Linked DNA regions of Sus scrofa. The protein of the gene in region 3 binds, or shares a complex with, the protein of the main gene of each other region. Links are inferred from orthologs where the notes say so. Each region holds a gene or a part of one and is shown on either strand. Other genes may lie near its edges. The genes, in order: TAF8, TAF13 and TAF11.

What was found.
Region 1: TAF11 (region 3) and TAF8 share a complex: the UniProt entries of both Homo sapiens proteins name them as parts of the TFIID basal transcription factor complex. The link is inferred for Sus scrofa from reciprocal best matches to the Homo sapiens genes TAF11 and TAF8.
Region 2: TAF11 (region 3) and TAF13 share a complex: the UniProt entries of both Homo sapiens proteins name them as parts of the TFIID basal transcription factor complex. The link is inferred for Sus scrofa from reciprocal best matches to the Homo sapiens genes TAF11 and TAF13.

What each region holds. Positions count from the first base shown.
Region 1 is NC_010449.5:37,200,001-37,207,195, reverse strand, and holds the end of TAF8 (transcription initiation factor TFIID subunit 8), read right to left. Parts: intron 4,898-7,195; coding exon 4,758-4,897; coding exon of another isoform or gene 4,754-4,757; exon of another isoform or gene 4,479-4,753; coding exon 4,466-4,478; 3' UTR 2,493-4,465; downstream 1-2,492. UniProt on the Homo sapiens protein: The TFIID basal transcription factor complex plays a major role in the initiation of RNA polymerase II (Pol II)-dependent transcription.
Region 2 is NC_010446.5:110,977,924-110,986,256, reverse strand, and holds the start of TAF13 (transcription initiation factor TFIID subunit 13), read right to left. Parts: upstream 5,442-8,333; 5' UTR 5,394-5,441; coding exon 5,367-5,393; intron 4,383-5,366; coding exon 4,304-4,382; intron 1-4,303. UniProt on the Homo sapiens protein: The TFIID basal transcription factor complex plays a major role in the initiation of RNA polymerase II (Pol II)-dependent transcription.
Region 3 is NC_010449.5:30,807,172-30,815,623, forward strand, and holds the start of TAF11 (transcription initiation factor TFIID subunit 11), read right to left. Parts: upstream 4,598-8,452; 5' UTR 4,499-4,597; coding exon 4,328-4,498; intron 1-4,327. Other genes in the region: ANKS1A (ankyrin repeat and SAM domain-containing protein 1A), read left to right, coding at 5,920-6,110. UniProt on the Homo sapiens protein: The TFIID basal transcription factor complex plays a major role in the initiation of RNA polymerase II (Pol II)-dependent transcription.

The DNA.
Region 1 (7,195 bases), about 6.4 Mb from region 3:
GAACACTGTGGCTTTTCTCTCGAGACCCCGATTCACCCTCTGACAAGATGTTTGTGAGCTGTCTGGCCCCAGTGAGACCATAAGGTCAGAGAACATAGCAGCTTAGTTATATCTATCACATCCCAGTGTTGGACTTGGCGCGGGTACATGATCGTTCAACACATATTTGTTGAATGCGTGAATGAAGAGGGGAAGGATCCATCTTATCTGGAGGGAGGATATGGAGGCTGGAAGGACAGGCCAGATTTTAGGAGGTGGAGTTCCCGCTGTAGCTCAGTGCGTTAAGAAACCGACTAGATCTGGGAGAATGCAGGTTAGATCCCTGGCCTTGAGCCTTGGGTTTAAGGATTCAGTATTGCCGGGTAGCTGTGGTGTAGGTCCCAGATGTGGCTTGGATCTGGTTGTGCTGTGGCTGTGGCATAGGCTGTAGGTCTTTCATCCCTAGCTTGAGAACTTCCATATGCTGCATGTGTGGCTGTTAAAAGAAAAAAAACTTTTTTCAGTTAAAAAAAGATTTGAGGAGGTGACAGGGAGAAAAGCATAGGCAGCAGCAGTGATGAGGGTGGCCGTCTCCCCTCCGGGCACACAGACCCCGTTTACGGCCTCAGCACTTCTCCACAATCTGTAATGATTTTTTCTTTGTATGTTTTCCCACTAGAATGGATTCCCAGGAGGGCGGGGGCCACGTCTGTCTGTTGACTTAATTCTTAGAGCCTGGCACAGGGCCTCACAGACATAGAAGGCAGTAGATCCGCACTTGTCGGATAAATCAAAGAAATAGGAGTTATTGAAAAGAAACGGTGAATCGGCAGAGGACCTGGCCAGTTGGATTGGGCAGTTTGGACATGGTGTGGATGGGCGCAGGGATGGACTAGAGGTCCTAGTGTGGGGAGCGGGGGAGGAAGGACGAAGCTGGGGCTTGTGGAAAGCTGGGCCTGGAGAGGGACAGGGGCTGGGGCAGAGCAGGAGGCTGCTGCAGCCTCAGACCGGCAAGGAGGGAAGAGGTGGCAGAATTTGGTGAGTGATCAGACGCAGATGAAGGATGAGGGGTCCAGACTGTCTGAGGATGAGATGATGCTGCAGAGGCTGTGGTCCCGGCCTGAGGCAAGTATTCCAGGGCCAGCTGCTGCTGTGAAAACTGGGGAGTGGAAGTGGTTTTGGGGGAAAAGTGAATCAATCCCAATCTACCATGTTGCTTTGAAAGTGTAACCAGGAATTACTGTTGTGGCTCAGCAGGTTAAGAACCCAACAAATATCTGTGAGGATGCAGGTTCCATCCTTGGCCTCACTCAGTGGGTTAAGGATCCAGCGTTGCCACAAGCTACAGCACAGCAAGCTTCGGCATAGGTCAGATATGGCTCAGACCCATCAAGGCTGTGGCTGTGGTGTAGGCTGACTCCTAGTCCTGGGAACTTCCATATGCCGCAGGTGCAGCTGTTTTTTAAAAAAAAAAAATTAAGTCTATTAGAGATGCATAATAATGTATTCATAGACTACATGTTTTGGTTTTTGCTTTTTTGCCACATCGGGGCATAGGGAATTTCCCTGGCCAGGGACTGAATCTGAGCCACAGCTGGGGCAACACCAGATGCTTAACCCACAGTGCTTGGCTGGGGACCAAACCCACACTGAATCAGAGACAATGCCAGACCCTTTATCTGCTGTGCCACACTGGGAACTCTATGACATAGTTCTTAGATTGGTTTTCTTCGGTTTGGGGTTTGTTTTATTTTTTCTTTTTAGGGCTGTACCTGCGGCATATGGAAGTTCCCAGGCTGCTGGCCTACACCACAGCCACAGTAACTTGGGATCCGAGCCTCGGCTGTGACCTACACCACAGCTCACAACAACGCTGGATCCTTAACCCACTGAGTGAGGTTAGGGATGAACACACATCCTCATGGATTCCAGTTGGGTTCGTTTCCACTGAGCCACAACGGCAACTCCAAGATTGGTTTTTAAAAATACTCCAGGAATAAAAAATAAAAGATGTAGAAGAAATAGACGAAACAGAATTGAAATGATGTCAAGTGTTGAAGCTGGGTGAAGAATATACAGGGAAAACGAATGTGTGCTTTCCTCTCTAGCTCTGTGTTTGCAGAGGTCCCAAATGAAAAGTTTTAGACAGTTTGAAAGGGTACTTTTTCCCTTTTTTTTTCTTTTTAGGGCTGCACCTGCAGCACATGGAGGTAGGCCAGGGGTCCAATCGGAGCCACAGCTGCCGGCCTACGCCACAGCCACAGCCACACTAGATCCGAGCTGCGTGTGCAACCTAAACCACAGCTCGTGGCAACTCCAGATCTTATTCCATTGATCGAGGCCAGAGATCGAACCCGCAACTCATGGTGTCTAGTTGGATTCGTTTCCACTGCACCACAACGGGAACTCCTGAAAGGGTACCGTGTCCAACCTAAGTCTCAGCCTTCTGTCTCTGAATGCCGCCTCACTCATTGCTATCACTTGTGCGCACACATTGAGTTCAGAGCTTACCATTCTGTTTCACTTAGGATTTTTATTATGACCTTTATTAAGCGCTCATAAATCACATTCTTAATCTGGCTCTGTTTACTACTTTTCCCCTCCACCCATTCCCCTAAAGTTATAAAAAATAAAAATATATAAATATACATTGAGGATTACGCAGCGTTTTTACACAACAGTCACGTCAGTGTTGCAGGCTGTCTGACCATCTCCCCATGTCTCATCCAGAACAGGGTGGCCTCTGAAGCAGCAGCAGCAGAAATGGCACTTCTTTTCCACGTCCTCCCTCATCCTTCAGCATAACAGCATTCGACGGGCGTCGTGGAGGAGCTGCTGGGGGGACGGCTCCGGAGAGCGGCTGAGAGCAGCAAGCCGGGAAAGTATCAGCCCTGTACCTGCCGTGGCTCAAACCTGGGGCCGTTATTTAAACACATCAGGCCAAGCCTCACCAAGAGCCAAAGGCCAGACGTGGAGGGTGCAGCATAGGCCCAAGCGGACTTACTTTCAACTGCAAGAGGGGCAGGTCACTACCAACTGGAAAATCTCTTATTTGGTGCGGAGCTGGGGACTCCAGTTTTCTCCGTCGGCATCCCCTGTTCAGTTACTGACGAGCAGCGCCTTCCTTCTGGCCAGCGGGATGAAGTGCGCAGAGGACAATGAGGCCAGAGGGACGTGGCACTTGCTGTCAAGCTGCTTGGTTTTTTGAATTTTCAAATTTGCCAGGAGGACAGAAGATTAAGAGATGACTGTGGAAGCCGAGTACCCAGGGAGCTCAGCATGGTCCTTAGGGCGCTGACCCAGGGAACTTGGTGTTTACGCCACGTTAACTTTCAGCTGTCACTGGCATTTTTCTTCCTCTGACTTGGTTTTAAAACCTCTTCCTTTGGAGAGGAGCTAAAAAGTACCCACTTGCCCAGCATCTTCCTTTTCTGGTTTGGAGGGTGCATCAAGGATGAAGTCTTCTCTCCCAGGGGGCAAGGAGGTTGGACAGATTCAGACCTGCAGGCTCTTCTCAGCCCCCTTCTGCCGTCAGTGGGCACATGGCCATCCAGCCAGCCGGCCGCCCAACAGACCAGCCAGGTCTCTTGGCTTTCAGAACATGAGGCCAAACCCGGCCTTCAAAATCTCACTCCTGTCACCCCCCACCCACCCCCATCAAATCCTTTTCCTACTGTGTAAAATCAGTGATTCCTCTGTCAAGTCACAGCATGATCTATCCACTGGTGTAGGCTCTTGTCAAAGAAAACCTCTTTTCCTGGGATGGGGCAGGACTTGGTCGTTCCCAAGCACACGCTCCCTAGAGGGACAGTAAGGGACAACTCTCGGCAGAGGGCGCTGCCCTGCTACAGGGAGCTCTCATCACAAGCTGATGGGAGGCAATGCCGCCCTCCTGCCTCAGCCTCCTCCACGTGACCGTGACCGTGTCTGCTCCTGACTCCTGCCGGCCCCACAGGCTATGAAGGGTGGGTCTCCTGTTTCCAACATGTTAAAGGAGGGAAAGTCACCTTCGATCAGCGGAACAGGGCCCTTGGAGCCCAGGTGAGGAGAGGAGGAGCGGTTGTTCTAGGATAATTTGGTGCTGCAAACTGTCAGTCGATAAAAGGGGTCCAGGTGCCTTGAAATACAAACTAAGCCACCAGTCTGTCTGGCAGTGAGCAAAAGAGGCAAAGCCCTTCCTTTCCCGGCACCTCCCCTGGTATCCAGGTTTCAAAGAATCAAATCCCATGATAATAAATGAAGTCACTGGCTGCTCCTATGCCCCAGGGTACAGCCTGGTGAATTTAAAAAAAGCCTCATTGTTACTATCGTGTCTTCTTCAACCCAAATATCCAGTGAAAACAGGTAATCTTAATAGAGAGTCTGCTATTAAAATCATGCCCGGTCAGAGCCTGGCAGCCTCAGCTGGACCCCAAGGCAGCCACCCTTTCTTCCCCCCAGGAGGGTGGTGTCTGTGTCTTTGTACAAGGCAGGCTTCCTTCTCAGCTCACGAGAGGGACCTAGAAAGAAGAGGAATCCATGGAGCCTGCCTGGAGGGGGCCCTGCCGGCTCTCCTTCTGGGGAGTGGGGGACAGCTGCTGGCCAAGAGGGCTGGTCCCTGCAGGACGCTCCACCTCCACGCTACAAGCGGTACATGCGGGAGGCGAGGACGGAGAGAAGGGAAAACACTTCCTCTCACCAGAGTAGCTCTCCCCGGGGGTTCGGACCCTCCGGAGAAGGGGTGGAGAGGGCACCTCGGGTGGCCGGGGAGGCCCTGAGCGCCCCAGCCTCCAACTCACTTCTTCCTGCGGATCTTGGGTTTCTTCACGGGCCGCAGGTAGGGGTTATCGATGATGCTCTCCTCCCCGTTCCGGCTCCCCGACAAGGAGGGGTTCTGCTGCAGGACGGAGGTGTTCTCCTTCTCGGCTCCAGAATCATCCTTTGAGCAAAAGCCGAAATAAAGCAGAAGACCAACGGCATAAGGACAACGACCATGCCCGTGATGGGAACTGCATCCCTTTTGTGGAGAAGCTAGAAGCTCAGGTACCATCTTCTAGCTAATGTGCTCATCTCTGCCCCCCAGGCAGCGGCTGCACTGAGGAAGGTGAGAGCACAGAACCCCGATCCCTGAATCTCCAGAGAGGGCAGGGATGCGAGTTAGAAGGAACAGAGACCCAGGAGGCGCAGGGGATCAAGATTTAGATGCTTCAGGAAGGAAGCCCAGTGCATGGGGAGATGAAGAAAAAGAGAAGCGGCCCCCAGTGCCCCGAAGGACTGAGGTACAGGACTGGAACGAATTGTGTGCCCAGGGCACTTCCTGGACCAAAGCTCACAGATCATGATGTTTTCCCCCAGAGTCTCAAATAGTTGGTACATGCAACATGGCACCAACGACCACACCCCAGCAGAGCCCAGAAACTGCTGAAGCCCCGAGGACTCCCACCAAGGCAAAGCAGTGTGTGCCAGCAGCAACCCAGGAGCGTCACCCACTGTCCCCACCTGTGGCCATGGGACAGGCCCTTCACTGCTCATTTGTTTTTGTTTTTTTTTTTAAATTTTATTGATGTACTTATTTGGCCGTGGTGAGCAGTGGCTTGTGGGATCTCAGTTCCCAGACCAGGGCATGAACCTAGGCTGTAGCAGTAAAAGCGCCGAGTCCTAACCACAAGACCACCAGGGAGTTCGCCCTCACTGTTTTTTTTGTTTTTTAGGGCCACACCTGTGGCATATGGAAGTTCCCAGGCTAGGAGTGGAATCAGAGCTACAGCTGCCGGCCTATGCTACAGCCACCGCAACATGGGATCTGAGCAGTGTCTGCAACCTACACCACAGCTCATGACAGTGCCAGATCCCTGACCCGCTGAGCGGGGACAGGGATAGAACCCACATCCTCATGGATACTAGCTGGATTTGTTTCCACTGCGCCACAACGGGAACTCTATTCACTGTTTGTTTTCCTTTTCCCAAGCCAGCAATGGACCCCACAACACAGCAGCGACTCGAACCACACCAATGACAACACTGGATCTTTAACCTGCTGCACCGCAAGGGAACCCCTCATTGTTTTTACAAACTGCTTCTGGGAATGTGGGTGATTGCGTTTCTTTCCCATTTTTACACTCTTCTATTTCCCAAGTTTCTTTCTTTATTTTTTGTCTTTTTGCCTTTTCTAGGGCCGCACCCACGGCATATGGAGTGTCCCAGGCGAGGGGTCTAATTGGAGCTGTAGCCATCGACCTACGCCAGAGCCACAGCAACACGGGATCTGAGCCACATCTGCGACCTACACCACAGCTCACAGCAATGCTGAATCCTTAACCCACTGAGCGAGGCCAGGGATCGAACCCACAACCTCATGGTTCCTAGTTGGATGTGTTAACCACTAAGCCACGACGGGAACTCCACCTCCCAAGTTCTTTAAAAGAAGCAGAAGTTGCAGGGGAGGGGGGGAAATCATATGAAAAACTTGACCTAAAAGCTCAGGCTCAAGTGGCTCTAAGTGAGCGGCAGAAGCAGCTGGTCCTGCTGCGCCCCCTGGTGACATGCTGAGGGTTCTGTTCTGTAACTTGAGGCAAGAGAGGACCTAACCTCGACCAGGAGATTCTGCTGTCCAAAGACAGAGGGCGCTGTGACCAGATGGCAGCTTCTCCCAAGGGGACCGCTGGCTAGGATGCAGCGCCAGTCTGGGCTCAATGAGTCTGAAGAAGGTGATGACTCCGAGGTCCAGCTGCACACCCTCTCACTGTCCATCAGTCCTGCTCTCCCCAGAGACCCAGGCTCATCCAGGGCCCGAGGGCTTTCCTTTCTCCAACCCCCAACCCAGTGGGACCGCGGCATGAGCGACAGCTGCTGTGGACCTTCCAGAGGCTCTGTGGAAAGCAAGTCCCCAGGCTCAACCTGGCTGGTGCCAGACCAGGTGAAGGACATGAGGTCTGACCACACAGACCTGCCTGGGATATGTGGCTCCCGACCTTTTTGAGGTGCTTAATGGCCTGGTTCAGTAACCTCCCCCCAACCCCCTTCCTCCTACCATCCATCTACAGTAGACGCCCTTTCTTCAAAGTTCCTGGAAGTTCACTTCAGCTGTGCTTTAAGTGCTTCCTGTGACGATAAGGGTGGCGGAGACACAGTCAGGGGTGTCCTGGGACCACTGCTGGAGGCTCCCTCCGTCCGGCTCACTATGCCTCACAAGGGCAGGGGGGTTACGAGTCAGGACTTGGGGCCTCCCAAAGAGAGC
Region 2 (8,333 bases), on a different chromosome or scaffold from region 3:
GTGGTGTAGGCTGGCAGCTACAGCTCCAATTAGACCCCCAGCTTGGGAACCTCCATATGCCGAGGGTGAGGCCCTAAAAGGACAAAAAAAAAAAAAAAAAAGACTAAACTCATTTAATCGCCACAACAATTCTTTGAAGCAAAAACTATTATTATCCCCAGTCTACATAGATGGGGAAACTGAGGCACATAGGTAAATGATTTATCCAAGGTCATAAGATAGTGAGATGGAAACTGAGTTTGAATCCAGATGATCTGGCTCCAGAGTCTATACTCCTTCCCACAACAGGATTACCCTTCTTGGTAGTTTAGGGAAGATGGGAGCCATATGGATTCTTATCCTACAGTCTATAAACTCCCAGTTAGTTCATGGATAAGCTTTGAGAAGTCAGGGGACTCTAATGAAATTATATGCAAAAAAATTTTAAACATTATTTGAGTGTGTGTGTTTTTCTGGGAAGAAAAATCAACTCATAAGATTCTCAAAGGTGTATATACTAAGAAACTGTCACATGTTAGAAATGTTTCATATCCTGATCTGACTAGTGGTTACAAGTGTATATATATATATATGTATATATATATATATATATATGTAAAATTCATCAAGCTATTCACTGAAGACTAGTCCTATCTGTCTGTCTATCTATCTATCTATCTATGCTTCTTAGGGCCACACCGTGGCATACGGAAATTCCTAGGCTAGGAGTCAAATCAGAGTTGCAGCTGCCTGCCTATTCCAGCAAGGCTGGATCCAAGCCGCAGCTTCGACCTGCACCACAGCTCACGGCAACACCGGATCTGTAATCCACTGAGCGAGGCAAGGGATCAAACCCATGTCTTCATGGATACTAGTCGGGTTTGTAAGTGGCTGAGCCACAGCAGGAACTCCAAGACTAGTACAATTTATTGTATATAAGTTTTACATTAAAAAAAAAAAAAAAAAAGGAGTTCCCGTCGTGGCGCAGTGGTTAACGAATCTGACTAGGATCCATGAGGTTGCGGGTTCGGTCCCTGCCCTTGCTCAGTGGGTTAACGATCCGGCGTTGCCGTGAGCTGTGGTGTAGGTTGCAGATGTGGCTCAGATCCCAAGTTGCTGTGGCTCTGGCGCAGGCCAGTGGCTACAGCTCCGATTAGACCCCTAGCCTGGGAACCTCCATATGCCGCAGGAGTGGCCCTAGAAATGGCAAAAAGACAAAAAAAAAAAAAAAAAAAAAAAAAGAGGAACTCCTAGAACACTTCTAAAAGCAGGAATGAGTACATTAAGAGCAATTCCTATTTAGGAGAAAAGAGTAGACAAGGCCTGCAGATGAAAAGAAAGGGTAACTTTGGAAGCCAGCCTGGGATAGAGAAGTACCCTAGGGTTTATTCTGGCAAAAGTCTCTAGGCCCAGATACAGGAGGGAGAAAACAAACACAGGAGCCAGTATTTTCTCCCCTCTCTTTTCTGGATTCTGAACATTGCCCCCACCTTTTTTAAATAGGTAATTTCAGACTTAGAGAAGAGTTGCAAAAGTAGTACCAAGTTCCCCAATGCCTCTATCAGTTTCCCCTTATGTTAACATCTTATATAACCAAAGATATTTCTCAAAACTAAGAAATTAACAGTGGTACAAGTACCAGTTTCTCCACTCATGTACTTTTTCTGTTCTAGGATCACACACTATTCAGCTGTCATGCCTCCTTGGTTTCCTCTGTTGTGCAACAGTTCCTCAGACTTTCCTTGTCTTTTAGAACCTTGATGCTTCTGAAGAATACTGGTCAGTTATCTTGTAGAATGTCCTTCAGTTTGGGTTTGTCTGATGTTCACTCATGGTTAGGTTGTGATTATGCATTACTAGAAAGGGTACACCGAGATGATGTACCTCTTAATGCCTCATATCATGAGTACATAATGCCAACATACATTACTAGTAATGTAAACTTTGATGACTTGCTAAAGTAATGCATGCCAGGATTCTCCACTGCAAACGTAATTTTTTCCTTAAATGTTCTGAGGAAGATATCTTGTCATTAACATTTTGATGAGAAGAATTCATCAGTAGGGAAATACACTTCACTGGAAAAGGAAAAACTTAGATGGGAAGTTTGTAAACTGTTTTGATTAAAGAGTCTGTAAAGGAGTTCCCATTGTGGCTCCGTGGTTAATGAACCCTACTAGTATCTATGAGGGCATGAGTTTGATCCCTGGCCTTGCTCAGTGGGTTAAGGATCCGGTGTTGCTGTGAGCTGTGGTGTAGGCCACAGACACAGCTTGGATCCAGCATTGCTGTGGTTGTGGCATAGGCCAGCAGCTGCACTCCAGCGCTGCTGTGGCTGTGGTGTTGGCCAGTAGCTGCAGCTCCGATTTAACCCCTAGCCTGGGAACCTCCATATGCTTCAGCTGCGGCCCTAAAAAGACAATAAATAAATAAATAAATAGAGACTGTAAGGATATAAAAACCAGCAGTGAATGCTTTGAAACTTTGTGTTATATTGGCAAAAAAAACGTTTTTAAAAAAAGGTTTAGGAACAGATCTTGTTCAGGAAGGTATATGAAGATTCAGGTAAGACAAGGAAAAGGCTTCGAAGATTCTGAACTCTTGTCATCACAAAACAAAGCAATCCAAGTGGAACAAAGGCTTCTGGTAAGAACTGACTATATAATCATCACTATGGGACACTCTGATATGGAATCCCTTTCTTATGGAAACATAAGAAGCAAAACCAACCATAAGAGGGAGGGGGAGGGACAGGGAGGTTGGGGTCAGTAGGTGTAAACTATTGCATTTAGAGTGGACAAACAGTGAGATTCTGCTGTATAGCACAGGGAACCATATCTGACCACTTGTGTTGGAACATGATTGAGGATAATGTGAAAAAAAAAAGAATGTATACGGATGTATGGCTCGGCCACTTTGCTGTGTAGCAGAAACTGACAATAGACTGCAATCCAAAAAATTTTTTTAGAAAGAGAAGCAAACCCACATACAAATGGAGTAAACAACATCAGAGATAGAATAAGAGGTGATCCACTTTCTCTTTTTTTGCTTTTTAGGGCCACATCTGTGGCATATTAAGTTCGAAGGCTAGGGGTAGAATCAGAGCTACAGCTGCCAGCCTATGCCACGGCCACAGCAACGTCAGCTCAGCCTGGCTGCGACCTACACTGCAGCTCATGGCAACGCTGGATCCCAACCCACTGAGCGGGGTCAGGGATCGAACCTTCATCCTCACGGATACTAGGCAGGTTTGTTACACTAAGCCACAATGGGAACTCCAGGAGTGGTCCACTTTCAATGAGAAACTGATATAACAAGGGATTTGAATGGTTAAGGAAGAAAAAGACATACTGACTCTGCAGTTTCAAGAGCATTTAGGAACTGCTTACATGCAAACCAGCATAAGTAAACAAAGTATTCAGGCGCTGCCTCATCAGGTCAGCCATGTTACATGAAAAGGACTGGGACTGGGAGATAGAGAGCCCGCACATTCTCATGGTGCCTTTCAAGGGCTGGCCTGGATCAGCAGCAGCAGCAGCTGCTCTCCTTGCTGCTGCCAAAAAGGGTAAAGCTCTCTACTCAGAGAGTAGAACAGAGAACCAAAACCTTATTATCTCTATGCCACTGGACTGCCTCACACTGTTCACTTTCCTTGTCCACTGCCTTAGTCCAAAGCCCCAACTTAATTCCTATTCTCAGCACCTGTTCCAGGAGCCAACATAACCTTTGGCTTACAATCAAAGGAGTCCCTGCTCCTACTACTGCACAGGTAAGGGACAGAAAAAGTAACAGAGGTACTGAATTGAAACACTGATCATATTTCTTTTTTCTTTCTTTTTTTTTTTTTTTTGCTTTTTAAGGCCACACCCATGGCATATGGGAGTTCCCAGGCTAGGGGTCAAATCAGAGCTATGGCTGCTGGGCTATACCACAGCCACAGCAACACAGGATCTGAGCCATGTCTATGACCTACACCACAGCTCATGGCAACGCTGGATCCTTAACCCACTGAGCAAGGCCAGAGATTGAACCCAAAACCTCGTGGTTCCTAGTCGGATTTGTTTCCCCTGCACCACGATAGGAACTCCCACATTTCTTTAAAAAAAAAAAAAAAAAAAAGTGTGTCATATACATACATATACATATATAAATACATACACTGGGGTAAGAATCATTACTATGGTTCACAGGTTAAACAAAATTTACAGCTAAGTCTGACAATATTGTCCCTACAAGGAAACACATTCAGAACAGTAAGTCTACTTTGAACAGACATTTCCAAAGGTTTTTATCTATAACGAAATCATTGCCAAATACTACTTACATTCTTTAGAAAAAAGTCTCTTTCTTTTACCCTGTCCACCTTCGGCACCTCCTCCAATTTCTTCACTTTCTTCCTCAAACTAGAAGTTAAAATGTATACATAGAGATGTCAAGCACTGCATTGGACTTTTAAATAATTAACATTTTTTCCCCACCTTCAACAATGATATCATGCCTGAAAGCCTAAAGCAGGCAGCAAAACCCCATGAAACCTTAGAATTTCAGAGGCCTTAAAAACTATCAGTCCAACTTCAGACTCATGCAGGAATGGCTTCTACAATATCCATAATAACCGTAGTGTCTCTCCTGGAAAAGTTCCAATACCATATTTTTGTTGTTGTTGTTGTTTTTTACCGAGCCCAAGGCATGTGGAAGTTCCCTGGTCAGGGATCCAACCCGCGCCACAGCAGCGCCGCAAGCCGCTGCAGTGACAACGCTGGATCTTTAACCTGTTGCCCACAAAGAACTCCCCACACCGTTCTTTTTTTTTAAACCAACTAAGCTGGCCTATTTCTAGACAGTTTTGCTAGTAAAGGAGTTGATACTGAATTAAAGCAAGCAAAACTAAGTTACTAAGCACTGCTAACACAGCCCTAAGAACGTTCCTCAAGGAAGCCTTAATCCCATTTTGTGATGTGAAAACCGAGGCTCAAATAACCTGCTCACAGAGAAAAGAGATTTTGAAATCCATGTTCCCTGACTCTGAGTCCATTATTTTTCCACTATTTTACAATAAGTATATAGTTTTGTTAGCAGTTGAATTGACGGTTCATAATGAGCGCTAACATACTAGCTTTGTCCTCTGATGATTCTCTAGATGTTTCAGAGAGTGTCTGGCAAACATGGACCAAAAGCAAAGGGCAGGCAGGGAGCCACGCTCCCACTCTTCCCGCCCCGCGTACCAAAAAGATGAATCTGAAGGGAAAGGCTAGTATGAAGCAAAGTCTCTGATGCTCTCCTCTGAAAACACTACGGAAAAAAGCTCCAGTTCTAAACTGTGCCTCCGCTATAAGTGCCCGAAAGAGTGCAGAAAAACGTGGGCTGGAACACAAGTGGTCACTCACGGTGGGGTCTTCCTCCTCATCTGCCATCCCACCAGCCAGCCGCCTCCCGGACTCGCCTGCCTACCACCCAGCGGGTTTTATCACTTCCGCTACCTCACTTCCGGTGACGCGCAGAGCCGGGGCGGGGCCTAGTCGCGACCCCGCCTGCGCAGGGGACAGCAGCTCGTCCGACCTAGCGGCCGGACCGAGAGGGCACTTAGTTGAGGATGACGTCTTGTCAAGAAAAAATTAAAAATTAGCAAGGAAAAAGGAAATCTCGGGCAAGGTGGCGTGTATCTCTTGCTTCCGTACGTCGGATTTCTGCTTCCTGATTCGACTGCGAAGCTATGTATCGTTCAGGGCTAGCTAGGGGTTCGTTTAAACATCTTCAGCCCCTCAGAGTTCCACTGTTATTTATTACTAAGGTCTGTATTGGTTACTGAGGATGTACTTTGAAAGCAGTTCTCAAGGGGGTGTTATCATCCCTTAGACTGGGGACTTAACTTTTGTGGGGCGTTTTTGTTTGTTTGTTTGTTTAATCAGAACTTTGGGAAAACCATGGATTTTAGAAGGCTAAATAAAGCTAGGTGTTTAAGCTGTTCTGCAATGCAAGGCCACACAGGGAAAGATTACCCCACAATACTCTATTTCTTTTTTTCTTTCTTTCTTTTTTTTTTTTTTAGAGCCATACTTGAGGCATATGGAAGTTCCCAGGCTAGGAGTTGAATCAGACTAGAACTGCAGGCCTATGCCACAGCCACAGCAAATTGAGATCCAAGCTGCTATGTGACCTACACCCAAGCTCACAGCAACACCAGATGCTTAACCCACAGAGAAGGCCAGGGATGGAACCCTGCATACTCATGGTTACTAGTCAGATTCGTTTTGGCCACAACAGGAACTCCCAAACTACATTATTTCTGAATGTTCTTAACATTCCTGTGAGTGAAAAATCAGTTCATAATTATCTGGGCCAAGAACATAACTGTTAATATATAAACACTGGCATTTTAGTGGCCTAGCAGTTAAGGATCCAGCCTTGTCACTGCTGCCCACCCCACCACAAAAGAAAGAAAATTCAATGTACCTTAAAAACACAGGAAAATGCTTTGTGTTTGCATTTGGGCTTTTTTGTTATTTATTTTTGCTTTTTAGGTTCTCACTCGCAGCATATTGAGGTTCCCAGGCTAGGGGTCCAATTGGAGCTTTAGCTGCTGGCCTACACCACAGCCACAGCAACACAGGATCCGAGCCACATCTGCAACCTACACTACAGCTCACGGCAACGCCAGATCCTTAGCCCACTGACCAAGGCCAGGGGTTGAACCTGTGTCCTCATGGATGCTAGTCAGATTCATTAACTGCTGAGCCACAAAGGGAACTCCCTGTATCTCTTTGTTTGGATCCTTAACCTACTGAGCCACTAGGGAACTCCCACACTGAATTTCCTAGGAATGCATATATATATATATATATATATATATATATATATATGTCTCAACCGCACTCCCTTTCTTGTCACAGAATTCCTAAAACCCTTGTAATTTGTTAAGTGATAAGAGCACTAGGAGCATCTCCTGTTCTAATATCTGGTCTTTGACATCCATCCCACACCTCCTCTATGCACACACACCGGGCTATTAAAACCCCTGTAAATTCCTAAGTGATAAGAACACAACTTTGTTCTAAAAAGGCATCTCTGAGTGGGCTCCTGGACGGCTCTTAGATAGGGACTAGTCACCAAAATGACCAAACCTTGATTAGAACCTTGGAATTTTCAGGCCTCTTCCCTGCCACTACCCTCCCAATTCTCTAGAGAGAGGAGAGGACTGGAAATGGAGTTAGTAATCGATCATGCCTACTCAAGGCATAACAACTCCAACGGTAAGGGGTTCAGAGAGCTTCCAGGTTGGGGAACACATCCACTTACCTGGAGGTTGATGCACTTTAATTCCATGGAGGCAGAAGTTCTGTGCTCAGGACCCTCCCAAAGAGCGCCCTGTGTGTCTCTTTATCTGTATCCTTTATCATATCCTTTAATTAAATTGGTAAACATGTCTCCCCGAGTTTTGTGAGCTGTTCTACGAAATAACCAAATCCAAGGGGGGAGGAGGTCATGGGACCCTCTGATTTGTAGTCCAGTCAGACAGAAGTTGGGGGTAACCTGGGGGCTTACTACTTGTGATTGGCATCTAAAATTGGGAGCAGTCTAGTGGGACTAAGCCCTTCATCAGTGGGATCTTACACTCTCTCCAGCTCAACAGTGTCAGCATTGAGTTAAACTGCAGGACACCCACCTGAGGTCACACAATTGTTTGCTGTGTGTGTGTATGCGTCGGGGGGGATACGCCACATATTTGGTCACCAGAAAGGAAGTGTTCTGTGTGAAAGTAATGGAGAAAGATACATAGAAAAGAAAGAACTGGGAATTTCCCCCCAAAACAGCAACTACCCTGAAATTGGACAGAGATAGTACTTTGTTTTGTTTGCATCTCACCAAGAGCTGTGAACTACTCAGGAAATAATGTCATGAAAAGCCACATCACTTGTAATAATTTGGGTAGCCAATATGCACTGGAATCAGTCTGCATTTGTAGCTCCTTGCATTCACGGGGACTCTACATATACGTGCAAGCATCTGAGATCATTATACCCTCTAGCTAGTCATTTATATATATTTATAAATATATTTATATATTTATAAATATATTTAATATATATTCATATATCAAAATGCATATTATTATAATTTACTGTCTTTATTTTACCTTTATATTATAGTTAGGACATTATACTTTTTAGTTATGTGGGTACTTAGGTCTATCGGTTATTTATTACTGTGTAACAAATTATCCCCAAACTTAGTGGTTTAAAACAATGAACACTTATCACACAGTCTCCTCTGAAGAATTGACGCGGAGGATCCATTTCCAAAATCACACTGTTTTCAGCAGGATCCAATACTTCAGGTTGTTAAAGACCTCAGTT
Region 3 (8,452 bases):
CTGGCCTACACCATAGCCACAGCCATGCCAGATCCGAGCCGAGTCTGTGACCTACACCACAGCTCAGGCAATGCCAGATCCCCAACCCACTGAGTGAGGCCAGGGATTGAACCTGCAACCTCATGGTTCCTAGTCAGATTTGTTTCTGCTGCGCCACAACAGGAACTCCCTTGAAGACAGTTTTGTCTATTTATCTCTCCTCATATAAACATTAAAAATTAAAACAATTTTGGAGTTCCCATGGTGGCTCAGTGGAAACGAATCTGACTAGCATCCATGAGGACGCAGGTTTGATCCCTGGCCTCACTTGGTGGGTTAAGGATCCAGTGTGGCTGTGAGCTGAGGTGTAGGTCACAGAGGCGGTTCAGATTCTGTGTTGCTGTGGCTATAGGTCCAATTCAACCCCTAGCCTGGGAAACTCCGTATGCCAGGGGTGCGGCCCTAAAGAGACCAAAAAAAATTAAAAACTCATTACTTATTCATTCTAAATGCAATAGTTTGCATCTAAAAAATTTTACTGAAACATAGTTGTTTACAATGTTGTGTTAATTTCTGCTGTACAGCAAAGTGACTCAGCTATACATATATATATATAATATATGCTTTTCCATATTTTTCTCATTATGGCTTATCACAGGATATCAAATAGTTCCCCGTGCTATACAGTGGGACCCTGTTGTTTATCCATTTTACATATAATAGTTTGCATCTGCTAATCCCAGACTACTAATCCTTCCCTCCCTGACCCCGCTTCCCCTTAGCAACCATAAGCCTGTTCTCTGTATCTTTGAGTCTGTTTCTATTTGATAATATGTTCCACATGTAAGTGATATCATATGGTATTTGTCTTTCTCTTTCTTCACTTAGTATGATAATCTCTTGGTCCATCCATGTTGCTGCAAATGGCATGATTTCATTCTTTTTTATGGTTGAGTAATATTCCATTGTATATACATCCCACATCTTCTTTATCCATTTATCTGTTGATGGACATTTAGGTTTTTTCCCATGTCTTGGCTATTGTATATGGTCCTGCTATGAACATACCAGTGCATATATCTTTTCAAATTATGGTTTTGTCTGGATATATTCCCCAGAGTGGGACTGCTGGATTATATGGCAACTCTATTATTCATTTTTTGAGCAATCTCCATACTGTTTTCCATAGTGACTGCATCAATTTACATTCCCACCAACAGTGTAGAAGGGTTCCCTTTTCTTCACACTTTTTCAGCATTTGTTATTTGTACACTTTTTAATGATGGCCATTCTTTACCCACATAAGCATTTAACATTGTTTTACTCATACTAGATGTTTAATGTGTTTAATAAAACAACAAAATCAAAATCCATACTTCATCCTCTCCAACTTAATAGAGAATCTAAGGATACAAAAAAACCTCATTAATGGGATTTAACTTCTATTTTCCTTACAGAGGAACTCACAATTCAACTCATACAGGAATACGAGAAGTAGATGAGAGTGAATGAAGGTAGTAAATCTTTAATAACCTTTTCAATTTCTTCTCTAGTTACTGATTTATACAAATGTTCTAACCTCTTTGTGCATCAATTTTGGTGGTTTATATTCTTTTTTTTTTTTTTTTTGCTTTTTAGGGCCATACTCGAACCATGTGGAAGTTTTCAGGCTAGGGGTCAAATCAGAACTGCAGCTGCCGACCATACACCACAGCCACAACAACACTAGATCTGAGCCGAATCTGAAACCCACACCACAGCTCACGGCAATGCCAGATCCTCAACCAACTGAACAGGGCCAGGGATCGAACCCACATCTCATGGATACTAGTTGGATTTGTTACCGCTGAGCCACAACAGGAACTCCAATATTCTTAAAAATGGGCTATTTTTCTTAAATTTTCAAAATTACTTGGTCTAAACTTTAACATTCAGTTTTCTTAAAGCTTAAATATCTCCATATCAGTCCATACAGCCCTTTCTTATTTCATAATGTTGTACTTTTATATTTCAACAATCAGGTCTTTTTCGTTGTTGTCTTTTTTAGGGCCACACCTGTGGCATCTGGAAGTTCCCAAACTAGCGATCTAATTGGAGCTATAGCTGCCAGCCGACACCACAGCCACAGCAAAGCTAAATCCGATGGTGCAGTCTGCAACCTAGACCACTGCTCATAGCAACGGTGGATCCTTAACCCATTCAGTGAGGTAAGGCGTCAAACCCTCATCCTCCCAGATCCTAGTTGGCTTCATTACTGCTGAGCTACATGGGAACTCCCTCAAATAATCAGGTCTTAATTTTAGTGTTTGTTTTTTTAAGAACTATTCATTAATATCTGCCTGCTGCTACATCCTTCTGATTTATCTTGTTCTCTTTATGGTTTCTTGAGTTAGGTGCTTATTTTCAATATCTCTCGTTTGCTAGTTAAAATATGTAAGGCTATGGACTAAACTTTAAATAAAGTTTTGGTAAAATCCCATAGGATTTGATGTGGTATTCTCTTTGTTAATTTCTTTAATCCACTGGCTTTTAAGAAATAGTTTAAAGTGTTCAGGTGTTAGTTTTTTGGCAGGATGGGGGTGGGAGAAGTTTGCATTGTTAATTTCAGGTTTATTGCATTGTACTAACAGGATATGGCCTGTTATGATTTCTACTTTTAAGAATTTATGCTTCTGGAGTTCCTGCCATGGCTCAGTGGTTAACGAACCTGACTAGTATCCATGAGGATGTGTGTTCAATCCCTGTTCTCACCCAGTGTGTTAAGGGTCCCGTGTTGCTATGGCTGTGGTGTAGGCTGGCAGCTGCAGCTCTGATTCAACCCCTAGCCTGGGAACTTCCATATGCTGCGGGTGTGGCCCTAAAAAGATAAAAGACAAAAAAAAAAAAAATAATTATGCTTCTCTTTGTGGTATGGTATATGATGAATTTTTAAAAGTGTTTCAGAAGCATGAAAATTTTTTTTTTTTTAATCTTCTGCTGGGTGTAAATTTCTGTATTCAGTGAGCTCTTTACTGTCCTAAGCTAATTATTACTCAAATTCTGTCTTTGATATCATTTCCACTTATTTAAAATTTTCCCCCTTTTGGCCAAACCATGGCATGTGAAAGTTCCTGTGCCAGGGATTGATTATGTGCCACAGCTGTGACCGGAGCTGCTACAGTGACAACACCAGATCCTTAACCACTGTGTCACCAAGGAACTCCATATTTTTCTTTCTTTCTTTTTTTTTTTTTTTTTTTTTTTTTTTGTCTTTTTGCTATTTCTTGGGCCGCTCCTGCGGCATATGGAGGTTCCCAGGCTAGGGGTCGAATCGGAGCTGTAGCTGCCGGCCTACGCCAGAGCCACAGCAACTCAAGATCCGAGCCGCATCTGCAACCTACACCACAGCTCACGGCAACGCCGGATCGTTAACCCACTGAGTAAGGGCAGGGACCGAACCCGCAACCTCATGGTTCCCAGTCGGATTCGTTAACCACTGCGCCACGACGGGAACTCCTCCATGTTTTTCTAAAAGTTCTCAACTTTATATATTTTGATGCAACTTCATGCCCTGAAAGGCTGTTTTCATTTAACCCATGATCTCACACAACTTCATCCAGGAATTCTAGCTCTATGACCTCAAGATTCATCTTTAGAAATGAAACCCGGAGAACACTGAGATTCTGGTCCTTTGATGCTCAGGAAGCAACACTGCTGAACTCTTGGGTGGCCCAATTGATAGATTTGGTGTGTTTATGCCACAGTGACCCTTGGAGATTAGCACCAAGGTCACTGGTAGGAGTTAAATGTCCCAAGCGGGTAACAACGTGACTAAAGTAGTAACTACCTCCAAGTTCCCTTTAACAACTTTGTAACCTATAATGATAACTATGCTTAAGCAATACCTTAAAGAAACTATATTGTGGTGAAAAGGGTTCTAGGAAGCCTGGGCTCTAGCTCTCGTCTTAAGTCTCAGTGTGGCATGAACCCCATTTTCATCACCAGGAAGACCAAGAGGCTATTTGAAATTCCTTTAGGAGTTCCCTGGTGGCTCAGCAGGTTAAGGATCCCGCGATTGTCACTGGGACAGTTCGATCCCTGGCCCGGGAACTTCCGGCCGCTGGGTCAGGAACTTGGTGGTGGGGAAAAAGCTTAAATGTCTAAGGGCAGGGATTAAAAACGCTGATCCAGTATTCGGTCCTTAGAACCTAAGCGGTACTAAGATTTTTGTCTTCTCTCTCCCCGCAACCCCGCGACTGCACAGCTAAAGAGTCAGGGTGAGTTCGACTATCCTAGCTTGGGACCAACCAGGAAGCCTGTCGAGAAGCCACTGACACAACTCCGGCCTCATGGACACATCTCTCCCTACCTCGCCTTCTTCAGCCGCGGTTTCTTTCAAGTCCCCATCTCCGTCTCCATCCGTTTCCTCCGGGATTCCGTCCGTGTCCGTAACCCCGGGAGCCCCGGGAGCAGCAGCCATCTCATCTGCCTCCCCTGTTTCTCCACTTTTTTCCGCGGGCGACTCGCAAGCATTATCCATCGCGGTCAGAAGGAGAGGGGAAAGGACATCGAGGGCTTAGGAGCTCGGGACCCCGCGCAGCACAGCAGCCCAGGAGCTCACTTCCTGTCGTCGCGTTGCGATGACGTCACCCACACCGCTCCTTAGAGGGGTCATTTACAGGCGCGTGTAGAGGACATCAGGGCTCCGTTTTGATTTGGTGGCGGTGGGGAGAGGGAAAATTGAGGGTACTGAACTCAGTTTGTGTATTTTCCACCCTGGGAAACCAGTATTTGTAAAGGACAGCTGCGCTTTTTACTGAAGGGCGTCTTTTTCCTTTCCGTCTTTCTAAAAACGCAATGTCAGTTAACTCTTGTCCTTCATTCTCTTTCCTCAGAAGAAATCTTGGGGACGGGAGGAAACTCAATTCCGTTGTACTCCCTGTGGCTACCGGGTAAACTCAGGCAGTACAATTGGACAGAGACGGCGGTCCTGTGTTTACATTGAATTGCCAGCATTTCTCTTTTGTTCCTCAAAAACGTAAAAAAAAAAGAAAAGTCCTATAGCTTGAACCGAATTTATCCAATTCCTTATTCACTCCACAACGATTGAGCGCCTACTTCGAGCCAGGAACAATGCTAGTACCAGAAACAAAAGACATAATCTCTACCCAGTTGAATGATTTTTCCAATTCCCCAGTACTCAAGGTCGGGGTCGGTTTCACACATTTGACTTTAATATCAGCTTGGTTAATGTCATCGAAAGAGGAAACATCCTACTGGGAGAGAAGCCTTCCCTTTGAATGTTTAGCTTTAACGAACCGTTTCAGAGTTGGGAGCATTAAGTGGGGATATTTTTGTTTTAAAAGTTCCCTCTCTTCCCTCATTGAAGTACGGAAGGGGGCATTTTATTCACCTCTGTATTACTAGGTTCCCACATCTATTACGTATTTAATTTATGCGTGCTGAATGAATGGACTTGGAAATGTAGATGCGCGTTGCCATATTTCTCTCTTTGTTTCTACATTGCCTGGATGAATTACCGTATTTCCTATCCTGCGAGCTCCCAAAACCTTTGAGGAAGAAGAACACGTCGGGAGGCGCGCACAGGTGGAGCGAATCTGTAGCTTCCCACTTGTACAGCAGGTGACCACACGACACCCTCCTCTCGCCCAGAGAGGACAATCTCGGCTCAACCAAGGCCACTTGGCGCAGACCCCAGCCACCTGTGTCCGCCCTCCGAGCCCCGCCCAGCTAGGTGGGCAAAGGGGCGGGGCGCAGGGGCGCGGTGACGCGTGACGCCGGATCCCGGAAGTGACGCGCTCCTGGGGGAAAAGGCGGGGGGAGGGGGTGGTGTCCCCGGCCGGTTTGGGGGGTGCGTTGCCCGGAGACGGAAAGTTTGGGAGCCAGAGCAGGCTCCGCGGCGGCCCCGGGGAGGAGGTCCGGGGGGCGGCGGCCCTGGGGATGGGGAAAGAGCAGGAGCTGCTGGAGGCCGCCCGCACCGGGCACCTCCCGGCCGTGGAGAAGCTGCTGTCCGGGAAGCGGCTCTCCTCAGGCTTCGGGGGTGGCGGCGGCGGTGGCGGCAGCTCCGGGGGCGGCAGCAGCGGCGGCGGCGGTCTAAGCTCCTCGAGCCATCCTCTGTCCAGTCTGCTCAGGTGAGTAACGCTCCGATACCCGGCAGCCGCCTGGAGATCCCCTTTCCCCCGCCCGTCTCCTGGGTCTCCAGAGAGATCGGGGCTCCAGAGACCCTAGCGGGGTGGGTTTGCGGGTTGCCCCAGGGCGAGGGCAGGCGGCCCAAGGGGCAGGGGGCACCGGTGCGGGTCCGCGCGGCTTCGGGTTCCTCTCATCTCGCCTCCTGACCCAGCTGCGAAGAATGGTGGGAGTGCCCAGGTGGCAGCCTCCGCCGCATGGCACAGCCCGGCTGCACCCTCGCCCGCTGGCGGGTGCCAGCTGTTGTATCTCACAAGCCACTTTAGAGGAAAAAAAAAAATGTGTTTTAAATCTCCCTCATCTCCTGCAGAAACTCCCACGCCTTGCAGAATCTCGCGGTTCCCCTGGAGGAAATTCTCTTGATTCCCTTCTTTTGGGAACTTGGAATCTTCCACCAGGCTCTGCAGGACGTGGCTTTTGTCGTTTATATTAAAATTGTCTTTGGGTTTATCAGGTTCAAAATGTTTTTCTTTCAGCCCCCTTTGTGCTTGGAGTTTAAAGTCTGGTTCCATGTAGCGAACCTCATTGGATTAGTCTGTTAAGTGGCATATGTAGTGTTCATCAAGGGGTCTATTCATCAAAAAATAAAGGTTTAGGAAAACTTGTTTAGGAAACTGAGGGGTGCTTTAAACTTTTCCAAGGACTGTTGTTAAACACTTGAATCTGGAGCTGTAAGGATTGAGAGAAAAAAAAGGTCACTTTTGTGCATCTTGAAGGGGGGATTGGAGGTGCCTTGTCACTGTGAGTAAAATGTGTTGTTTCAGCAGCACTTTCATAGCCTGTTTTCTTTTCCTTCCTTGTTCTTTTGAGGTTTCTAAGAAGTGGAAGTTCATTTAGAAATGGCTTGGTTTGCTTTTGTTCCACATTAGTTTATGTAACTTCAATTTGAGTGAGCTTGGACCAAAGAAGCCCAAGGCTCAAATAAATTGTTAGGTATTAAGCACTGAGTGCAAACCCAGGTCTACACAGGAAGATTTTAAAAAGCAGTTTAAGAGGAGAACTCTCCCAGGGAGTTCATTTTCTTTCTTCTTTTCTTTTCTTTTTCTTTCTTTTCTTTCTTTCTTTCTTTTTTTTGCTTTATTGGGGCCGCAGGTGCGTCATATGGAAATTCCTAGGTTAGGGGTGGAACCAGAGCTGCAGCTGCCGGCCTACACCACAGCCACAGCAACATGGGATCTGAGCTGCATCTGTGAACTATACCACAGTTTACAGCAACGCCAGATCCTTAACCCACTGAGGGAGGCTAGGGAATCAAACCTGCATCCTCATGGGTACTAGTAAAGTTTGTAAGCCCCTGAGCCACAATGGGAACTCACTCCCAGGGAGTTCTTCTGGGGAGACAAAACCCAGTACCATTTGCTACAGTTTTCCCAGCCCCTAGAACAATGCTGTCACATAGTTAGTACTCAGGATTTGTTGAATGAATAAATTAGTGATACATTTCTACATAACTGATGGTGGGACTCTGTTACTAGTTCAGAGAAGTGAGAAGTCACTTTGGGGTGAAATGGAGATCAGGGCTTCTAGGAAAGGGGCGGGGGGAGGGCACCAGCTGACTTTGAAGGATGTGAGGACTTGAATAGGTGAAGTACTGTGAGGGAACTCCAGGTGGGCACACCATGATCAGGTGCACTGAGGTGGGAAAGGAGACTTATTTGGTGCTAGTGGGTCACTGCCTGGAGCCGTAAGTGGTTGAGTGTGAGAAAAGAAAATAATAACGGATGAGGATCTTTGCACCTTTCAGAACGACTTGGTCTTTATGTTTATATTCCCTGTTCCTATAGCGGAGCCTGACACGATGTTTAGTACATGTACTTTGAATGCATAAATTGGGTTTTGAATCTTACCTGGGTTTCTTTGATATTTCTGCTCTTCTGATGTCTGAGAGAAGAGAGGAAGGTGGTGCCTGTCTCTAATGAGTTGAATGCTGTAGCATTTGGCAGTTTGCCCACGTTAACCCCCAGTACGTCCTGCTGATGTGAGAAACTTTCCCATCGCTCCTGCCTTCAGGTACAGGTCAAGTTACTGTCAGTGCTCCTGCTCAGAGATTGTTGAACTTCTGCTGAGGATTTAGCTGCCCTGTAGTTAATCAAGACTAGAAAATCTTTGCTTTTTGTGTTTTCACTTTGGGCCTCACGCTAGTATGTCCAGTCGCGGTTATAAGTATGGCTGGCATCTTCGCTCCCTTGTGGGAGAGAGCTGACTCCTGACTTGCTCCGGTATCTGTTGTAGAGATGGCAGATGGCCTTAGAGCTTCCCTGACCCCTCACTCCCGTGACTCCCAGGG